Linked DNA regions of Tribolium castaneum. The protein of the gene in region 1 interacts with the protein of each later gene in a pairwise test. Links are inferred from orthologs where the notes say so. Each region holds a gene or a part of one and is shown in the gene's direction. Other genes may lie near its edges. The genes, in order: eIF2Balpha, proteasome subunit alpha type-1 and Prosbeta6.

The links.
Region 2: the proteins of eIF2Balpha (region 1) and proteasome subunit alpha type-1 interact in a two-hybrid assay, tested with the Caenorhabditis elegans proteins (4 studies listed by BioGRID). The link is inferred for Tribolium castaneum from reciprocal best matches to the Caenorhabditis elegans genes eif-2Balpha and pas-6.
Region 3: the proteins of eIF2Balpha (region 1) and Prosbeta6 interact in a two-hybrid assay, tested with the Caenorhabditis elegans proteins (2 studies listed by BioGRID). The link is inferred for Tribolium castaneum from reciprocal best matches to the Caenorhabditis elegans genes eif-2Balpha and pbs-6.

What each region holds. Positions count from the first base shown.
Region 1 is NC_087400.1:176,639-180,116, reverse strand, and holds eIF2Balpha (translation initiation factor eIF2B subunit alpha), read left to right. Parts: upstream 1-1,347; 5' UTR 1,348-1,499; coding exon 1,500-1,512; intron 1,513-1,578; coding exon 1,579-1,680; intron 1,681-1,725; coding exon 1,726-1,865; intron 1,866-1,911; coding exon 1,912-2,028; intron 2,029-2,074; coding exon 2,075-2,187; intron 2,188-2,232; coding exon 2,233-2,377; intron 2,378-2,425; coding exon 2,426-2,551; intron 2,552-2,596; coding exon 2,597-2,755; 3' UTR 2,756-2,815; downstream 2,816-3,478. Other genes in the region: tyrosine-protein kinase Fer, read right to left, coding at 3,102-3,379, 3,427-3,478.
Region 2 is NC_087394.1:35,801,423-35,804,557, reverse strand, and holds proteasome subunit alpha type-1, read left to right. Parts: upstream 1-1,367; 5' UTR 1,368-1,476; coding exon 1,477-2,310; 3' UTR 2,311-2,481; downstream 2,482-3,135. UniProt on the Caenorhabditis elegans protein: The proteasome is a multicatalytic proteinase complex which is characterized by its ability to cleave peptides with Arg, Phe, Tyr, Leu, and Glu adjacent to the leaving group at neutral or slightly basic pH.
Region 3 is NC_087394.1:25,341,564-25,344,362, reverse strand, and holds Prosbeta6 (proteasome subunit beta type-1), read left to right. Parts: upstream 1-1,383; 5' UTR 1,384-1,507; coding exon 1,508-1,602; intron 1,603-1,648; coding exon 1,649-2,261; 3' UTR 2,262-2,299; downstream 2,300-2,799. UniProt on the Caenorhabditis elegans protein: Non-catalytic component of the proteasome, a multicatalytic proteinase complex which is characterized by its ability to cleave peptides with Arg, Phe, Tyr, Leu, and Glu adjacent to the leaving group at neutral or slightly basic pH.

The sequences.
Region 1 (3,478 bases):
AAAACACAAGTCATGGCCCATTTTTTATAAAAAGTACGAATTTAAATAAGCCCCACCCACTAGTTTAAATTCAATCAACACGTGACCAACCAAACTCCGCCTCCACATTTTGACAACCGTCCAATGCGAAAAACCAGCAAAAAAAACAAAAATATTTATTATTTACATTAACACGTGCATGCATTAAAACGCATTTTCGTTATTATTTTTTTGGTGGCGACGAACTTTGACTTTAACCTTCGACGACGCGTCCAAATTTACCCCCGCTCCCCTAGCACACGCGTTCATTGACCTCGAAAACCCCATCTTCCCCTATTTATAAAGGGGTGCATAATTCGACCTTGCGGCCCAATTATTCACAGGACCGGACCCAAATCGATAATACAGGACCGTATTTGAATCGATAACGGCGGCGGTGGAGGCGGTTTCACTCTCGCCGCCGCCACCGTTTTAAAGGGGATGAGACGCGACGCTTATCGATCGGGGGGCGGTCTTGCCGCCCCCCAAAAATATCATTCAAACACTCACCATACTAGATGATGCGAAGAAAGTTGGTGGTGTTCACACCTGAAAAAAAAAATTATTTTTTTTGAGTCATAGTAGGCTTGTATGCAAGTCACGTGATTTTGACATGTCGTTAATTAGCGAAAGCGCAGTTTTTGCCAAAATCTCAAGGTTTTTCGAAAGCGCGTCAAGGCTACCAACCGAAAAAAAAATCGATCAAATTCATTTGTTTACTCCGGAAATTGAGAACGTGCCAAAAATCCCCCAACAAAAATAAAAATATCCACGTCAATCATAATTAATCGCACGATACGGGCTTAAAAATGGGGGAAAACCGCCCCATACAGCCCCCTTTTAGCGGTGGTGCAGTCTCAAGGGGGCCCATCGCCTACTAACAATGAAGCAGAAAGTAACTGTACTAAGGAAAATGGCGACAGACAATTATCGAACTTGGCCCAACATATTGCGCAAATTTCGGCCAAAAGGGGGCTCCCAGGGCCCCAATTTCATAACAAGGGGGCACAAAGACATGCAAAGAGGGCTTTATACTCACATAAAGGTAATTTTAGGCCAAAATAATCCAAAAAAAACTGAACGATGACAGGGCAATCCACATCAACTACACAATTGATAAAGTTGGTCTGGTAATGACACGTGACCGGAATGAAGCCCGCGGATTGGTTGGCCGAAAAATGTTGCTAAAGCGACATCTACAAGCGAATTTAAAACGACCCCCATAATTTAATTCGGGCATGTTTTTTTAAACCAAACGTTATACTAAGTGTATAAACAAAGACCCAATAAATCAAACACACACATTGTTTTTATTTTGGTGGTGTAAGACACGGCGGGCGTGACTCTAACCACTGCCAAGACCACGTCGGTAAGGCAGTGACCAGTCAAGCGAAAAGGGAGGTTAAGTCAATTGTTTAATTTTGAAAATAAACACAATTGTGACAATAATTTGGCTTTAAGGCCACGTTATTTACATAATAATGGATAAGCAAGGTACGAATGTTACACTTTTGCAAAGTTTTGGGCGTTTTCAAGTCACATATGTGGCCCTTTTTTTAGAAGTTAAGGCCTTTTTCGACAAAACAATCGCCGAAAATGAGGACCTGTCGGTGGGGGTTGTTGCGATAATGACCCTCATGAAAATCATCGAAAAATATCAAGGTTAAAATAAATAAAACGCCACAAAAACCTAACCTCACTTTTCAGACAATACGGTTCAGGGCCTTGACGAGAACCTAAAACTGGGCATTTTGGCAATAAAAACGTCCGACTATCCCGTCACCGCGATAAATTCCGGTTGCGAACTTTTTATGCGCTTCATAACGTTGGCAAAACTTGACTACAATGTAATAGAAAAAAATTTAATTATCACCCAAGTAAATGAAATTTTAGAGTTTTGAGCAATGTCGTAACGTTATGCTCGAACGTGGCAACATTTTCCTAAACAGATTGAAACAATGCCGTGCCAAAATCGTGAAACTGGCCACAAAATTCATAGCTGACGGTTCTGTAAGTTTCAAGGTCGTGGGTGTGTAAACCCCCCATTTTTTTGTAGAAAGTCCTCACACATTCACGGTCACGTGTCGTGCTTCAAACTTTGATTGAGGCGTCACGTCAAGGCAAACAATTCGAGGTTTACGTCACGAAATCCGCGCCTGATAACAGCGGGTAAATCCCCGATTTTGTACGATTTGGCTTGACGTCACGTTGCAGGGACGTCATGTGCAAAAATCTGACTAGTGTGGGAATCCCCTGTACGTTGATTCTCGACTCTGCGATTGGTTATGTGATGGAACAGGTTGATTTTGTCATGGTGGGGGCCGAGGGGGTTGTGGAAAGTGGGGGGATTGTTAATAAAGTAAAAATAACACTATTGGTTTGATTTTGGTTAATTTCGTTTTGTAAGGTTGGTAGTTACACTATGGCCGTTTGTGCTAAAGAAATGAAAAAACCCTTCTATGTTCTGACGGAGAGTTTTAAATTTTCGCGCCTGTTTCCACTAAATCAGGGGGATTTACCGCCGGAGTATAAGGTAGGAAGGCGTAAAAATAATTAGGGTTAAGTGTTGGTATTACAGTACTCTGCAAGTGCGCGTCAACTTGATGAGAGGGATTTTAAGAAAATTCATCCCTTAGTGGATTACACGCCCCCGTTTTACATCACTCTATTGTTCACCGATTTGGGGATTTTGACTCCGAGCGCCGTCAGCGACGAATTAATCAAATTGTACTTGTAATAAATTTAATAAATTGACAGTTTGTGGCTAAGGTTACCCCACCAAATTTTTTAAAATTTATTGATTTTAAATTATTACCTGTAACAAAATCTAAAAGTTTTTTGGCACTAGAGTCACGCTAACTACAGGCACCTCATTCAATTATTTTCCAATTGAAAAAACCGGGTTTGTGGTTAAGGTTGGTCGCCCCTGGGCGCCTTTCCACGGTGATAAGATAGCGCGCCATTTAAATAAAACGTTTATTCAAAAGTCAGTCAAACTTTTTACAATAAAATACAAGTTATAAAATGTTTATCAACGTCACAATCACAGTAATTATAGCACACTTGATATTGGCAATCTCTGATCACAGGAATGACACTCTATAGGCGGCACATAGTGTTTCCACAACTGTATAAATTTGCTCAAAATTGGGCCTATTTTCCGGCTTATATTCCCAACATCTCAGCATTAAACGGTACATTTCGTCGGGTGTGTTATCAGGTGCCGGCATTCGATAACCGGCGTCGATTTTTTCCCGCGCTTTTGAGTTGCTCAAACCACTGTAGGGGGTTCCCCCACGTGAGAAAATCTCCCAACAGAGAATACCGTAACTCCAGACGTCGCAAAGCGACGTGTATTTGCCTAAAAGTGGAAATGTGACTGCGACTTTGTAAAATTGGGGGAATTACCGAAATTGAGTGCTTCAGGGGCCGTCCATTTGATGGGAATTTGCTTCATGCC
Region 2 (3,135 bases), on another chromosome or scaffold:
GACACCTAGATGTCACTGTCTTAGGAGAGGTAATGACATCCACGGTATAGAGACAGACAGGTAAACCAACTCGCTATTATAATTGATTCTAACGCTGGAGCAAGTTGATAGATGGCAGCACGGTAGACTGGGACTGTCACAATTTCAGAAATTTTCTTTGTTTTTTATAAAAAAATGATGCGAAATTAAAAAATGTTATCTCAGCACCCAAGTTAGTCATCTTGTAACAACTTCTGCTTTTTTCGCGCTGAAATAATAATATTTTCCGAATAGTTCTAAACTTCGGTTCGATGCATTTTCGGCCGCGAAAGACATCGAAACATTGAAGTCAGAATAAATGCTTTCCAGAAAAAAAACTCCACTACCATTCGGTACGGGCATCCTTCAGGTATTAATTGTTCTTCATAAATGTCGTATTTTTAACAACGTGATGCGTGTATCTTTTTTCTTGTAAACATTGTGACAGTCCCAGTCTACGCTGGTGCCATCTGTCAGATAAAATAAAAGCTCCAACTTGCTCCACATTTTGGTTTGCGCCCGACAATGGAAAATAAGGGAAGTTGGTTCACCAGGACTATCTATACATGGTGATGACATCTAATTACTGAATATTAGAGTACTATTTTTATAGGTACCTATAAAATTTTATGTGTCATCTTTGCATGCTCCTGTAAAACAGCGAATTACAGTAACCTGTAAATTTTTTAAGACCATTTACAATTGTATACTTTTAAATAATTATTCGAAAATTTCAAAATTGATTTTGGACCAGGACCGCAGGAGTGCAAAGAGGTAAAAAATATAAAAACCTCTTTGTTTTCTTGTGATCCTAATACACATTAAAGTTTTAAAATGGATTTTGTACCTGGATCAAAAAAGTTAAAATTTCTAAAAATCTTGTTGCGTTCCTGTGACCTTAATACCTACACATTTTACTTTAAAATAACAACAAACTTTTACTAAACTGTTTCTACAAAAAAATGCTAAGGCTAGGCAATTTGGATGCACAATACACACAAGTGTATAGCTGGTTGCAGACAAATCTTTAAATTATTGGTACCACGATTACAAGAACGCAAAAAGGTACTAAAGTTTAAAAATGTCCTTGCGTTTGTATGACCCTAATACTAATTAACTATGGTAAATTTTTAAACTTAAAATAAAGAATTCTATCAAGCGCAGACTGGCTAACCATCAGTAGAAAATGTTACAGTTTCCTATGCTTATAAGAAATTTAGTTCTACAACTTTTACATTTGTATAATAATAATTAATATAATTAACTAAGATATTCATCAAAACCTGCAGCTTTTCTAGCGTAAAAATATTTTTCTTAGCCTTTCTTTACAGAGACCTTTTTATCGAAACTGTCAAAAACGTATGTCTTATTCTGTCAAAAATATCCGCAAGTGACACAGCAGCATTACATGGTTATAAAAACAAAACCGGTAAAGTTCAGTAAAAATCAGTGTTAGAAATGTTTCGCAACCAATACGACAGCGACGTGACCGTCTGGAGCCCCCAGGGCCGCCTCCACCAGGTGGAGTACGCCATGGAGGCCGTAAATTTGGGCTCCGCCACCGTGGGTCTCAAAAGCAAGACTCACGCCGTTCTCATCGCCCTCAAAAGAGCCTCGTCTGAACTATCAGCCTACCAGAAGAAAATCATCAACATCGACGACCACATCGGAATCACCATCTCAGGCCTCACAGCCGACGCCAGAATCCTGAGCCGTTACATGCGGACTGAATGCCTCAATTACAAGTATTCGCACGACACCCACTTGCCCCTAAACCGCCTCATCAGCCAGCTGGGAAACAAGATGCAGTTGTGCACTCAGAGGTACGACCGCAGGCCCTACGGCGTGGGGCTCCTTGTGGCGGGTTATGACGACCAGGGGGCCCACATTTACCAGACCTGCCCCTCTGCCAATTACTACGACTGTAAGGCAATGTCAATTGGGGCGCGTTCGCAGAGCGCTAGGACTTACCTGGAGAAGCACTTGGAGGAATTGTCTTCGTGTTCTCTTGAAGAGCTGATTAAACACGGCTTGAGGGCTCTTAGGGACACTTTGCCCCCTGAAGTCGACTTAACCATTAAAAACGTTTCCATCGGTTACGTTGGCAAGGGACAAAGCTTCAAGATTTTGGTCGATGATGAAACTGGGCCTTACTTGGCTATGATTCAGGGTGAGGAGAGGAGAGGGGGTGGGGCTCAAGAGCCCCCAGCAGGGCCTCTCAGAGATGAGGCGGGGGACCAAGACCAGGGCCCCAGGGATCCGGTTCCAGCTGTAGCAATGGATACGGAATAAGGATAATGGGGCCTTTTCATTTTTCGTTAATCAGTTGTGTTTTACCTCTGAGAAATTGGATTGGTTTTGTGCCGTGGCTGTCGTAAGTGAGGCAGCCACGGCACAGGATCACTAAATATTACTAAACTGTATTCTTTTATTAAATAATCAATAAACGAAGTAATTTGTAAATCGTTGTTTATTTTTTCACCCTAAATGTACAAAGTACGTAAAGCGAAAGTGCTGTGAGAATTTCCTTGACGTATATCTCGCATAGCTTGCTATATTTAAAGAAATTTCAATGTAATGTTACAGCAGAACCTTGATTAGCCGAGTAAAATCAAACTTTTTACTTTTGATTATCCGGTTTAAGGCGGATAACCAACATTGTTTAAAAAATATTTTAACTTAAAATACTTTGACACTTTAAAATTTATTAAACACCTTAGGCGACAGTGGACTTTAAAAATTTTTAATTTCGCAATTGCATATTGAAGTTACTGTTCCAAGACACGTTTATTAGATTTTCACAGCATTTTGTAATGTAGACAGGGTGAGTCTATTACAAGTGTATTTTTTACTAAACCTCAAAAACTAATTATCGCACTGAATTCAGCGTTTGCTATTAAATACTCTATATTTCCCTCTAAGGCTGAATTTTTTCAGAATTTTTCTACAATTTCTTATAATTAAAATTAATTAACTACTCTTAAGTAGTTGCAAAAATGAAAAATGGGTAGAAAAATTCTGAAAAAAATCACAGGCATAGAGAAAGTCATTACGTATTAAACAGTGGGCGCTGAATTGGGTGCAACTATTAGTTTTAAGCAGAATCACCCCATGAAA
Region 3 (2,799 bases), on another chromosome or scaffold:
ACATCTATTTTGATATGTCAGTATTTATTTCAATATTGGGATGATAAATTTATAAATAATATCGGGAACCATAAAATACTGTGAAAAAATCTATTAGCAATGTTGAACCGTTTGAAATTGATAGTTAAGTTTGCCAAAGGAATATTTAACTGAACAACAAATGATTTTTTTAGAGACATTTAAAGTTTTTCAAAAATCAAAAACAAAAAGTCGTAGAGTAAAATGGTTTGTTCCAGTAAATTTTGCGGCTCATACTACGTATCAGTTTTTCACGAGAATTCAAATTTTGATTTTTTTTGCTTAAAAATTTATTATTTTTTTAAACTCACTCTAGGAAAGCTTATGGACTTTTCTATGCCTTTATAACTCACTCGGGTTGTTAAAAGTATAAAAAATGTCAATAGGTTCTTAAAGTTTGAGTTTTTTAATTTTTGCGAAATTTTCTCGATTTTCGGTACCCGGAACATTAATCAAGCAGTAACACCGGAACTATTTGAGATAACCATATGGTCTAATTTATTATCGTTAGAAAGCTCTTTTATCTATATTTTTCAAAAAAAGATGATATTGTTCTCCGGCTAAGAGTTTTCGAAGAAAATTGCGAATAAAAGCAAAAATAGAAAAAATAAAAAAAATCATAAGTAAAAAGCTATTGGAAGTTTGGTGATTTTCTTGACGTCGATTGATTTCCAGGATCATTTTACACAGGCTTAGACCAAAATAATTTAGAAAATAGAAAAATAAAAATAAATAAATTATTTTTTAGTTTTTTTATGATTTTTTCATCTCTGTTGTTAATTTCATCCTCATCAAATAAATTTTTATTGTAAGAAAAGGTAACTGGTTTAGTATTAAAATTATCGTATCGGAGTCAATTTTTTTAAGTTTTAATTAAGATAAATTAATATCATCCACATTAAATAATAAGTCTTTAATTTAAAAGGTTAGCTTTAATTTAGTTTTTAAATTGTCATATCTGTACCAAATGTTTTTTAAGTTTTAAGGTAAATGTAATAAAGTTAATGTAATAAATGTTGTTAATTTCAACCCCATTAAAAATAAATCTTTAATCAAAAGAGTAATTTTTGGTTTAATTTTTAAATAATCGTGTAATACAAATATTTATAAGTGTAATAAATTAGTCGTTATACGTTTAATTATGTTTTTTTTTCACATATTTATCGTAAGTTCGGCGGTGTACCTAAACTAAAAAAATTTGGCGCTGCATGTTATTTTTAAAATATTTATTATAGGCAACCATTTATACAAATACCAAATTCGAGCCGACGCACATTCTTTACTCCATGCCTGGTCTGAAAAGTAGTAAAAAATAGCCTTTTTTGTAAGAAACACGTTTACGACTAAAATTTTGATGATTGTGATTTATTTAAGTATAATTTGTTGGTTTTGTAACGATTCAACCGTGTACGATTTCGGTCGCTTCCATATTTGACATCTGACATCTTATTTTGTGTTGTCATTCAATTCGAGTAAGTGTTAATACGAAATGGCTTTATTACACTCCGAAAACCGCCCCAATTACCCCGACTATGCTACAGCCCCCACACAGCACCACTTCAGCCCCTATGCCGACAACGGAGGGTAAGCATTCCTCACATTAAACCCCTCCCTACAGCCCCTTTTGTAGGAGTGTGGTTGCAATCGCCGGCGACGATTTCGTGGTAATAGGCGCTGACACCCGTCTCAGTGCCGGTTTTTCAATTTACACCCGTGACCAGAATAAATTGTTCCGTTTATCGGACACTACAGTACTGGGATGTTCGGGTTGTTGGTGCGACACTCTCACCCTGACCCGCATTTTGAGCGCTCGCATGCAAATGTACCAACAGGAGCATAATAAAACCATGGCCACACCGGCTTGTGCCCAAATGCTATCAACCATGTTGTACTACAAGCGGTTTTTCCCATACTACATTTCTAATATTCTCGTTGGATTGGATAATGAAGGGAAAGGGTGCATTTATAGCTACGATCCGATTGGACATTGCGAGAAAACCACGTATAGGGCTGGGGGCTCCGCGGGGGCCCTCCTACAACCGCTTTTGGACAATCAAATTGGCTTGAAAAATATGCAAAACGTCAAGGATTCTAAATTAACGTTGGAGAGAGCAGCTGCCATCATCAAAGACGTTTTTATTTCAGCCGCTGAGAGAGATATTTTCACAGGGGATAGCATTTTGATTAACATCATCACCAAGGATGGTATTAAGGAAGATAGTTTTCAATTGAGGAAAGATTAAATTGGTGTTTTTTTTGCTTAATAAATCAGTGTTTGGTATTGATTGTTTTATTTAACAAATATTTCGGTAAAGGAATTCTAATTCTACCACATACAATAATCTAAAAAAATTATAACAAATAGGTCACACTCAAATATCTAAACATTCGAATTATTACTTTGACGTGATGATTGAACCACGGCTTCCTTGATCAATGAGGGACACGGCTTAACGTGGCGCCATCTGTTAGTCAACAATTGGTTGCCATGGTTATTACCACCTAACTAGTGTTGCCAGACCTATTGATTTTTCGGTAGACCTAAATCAGTTTGAAAATATTTACACTACAGTATAGATTTAAAAAAATGTTGAATTTTTATATACTTTAAAATAACACGATAATGATACGAACTGCAAAGGCCCCTGCGTTTCCACGTAGAGTTTTGACTAAAGGGCATTTTTCGAGTTTGCAATAAAGGCACAATAAGCGGGGAATACATTAAATTGGGTTTTAATGAAAAATAAGTCTCAAAATGACCATAATGTCTAAAGTAACTTG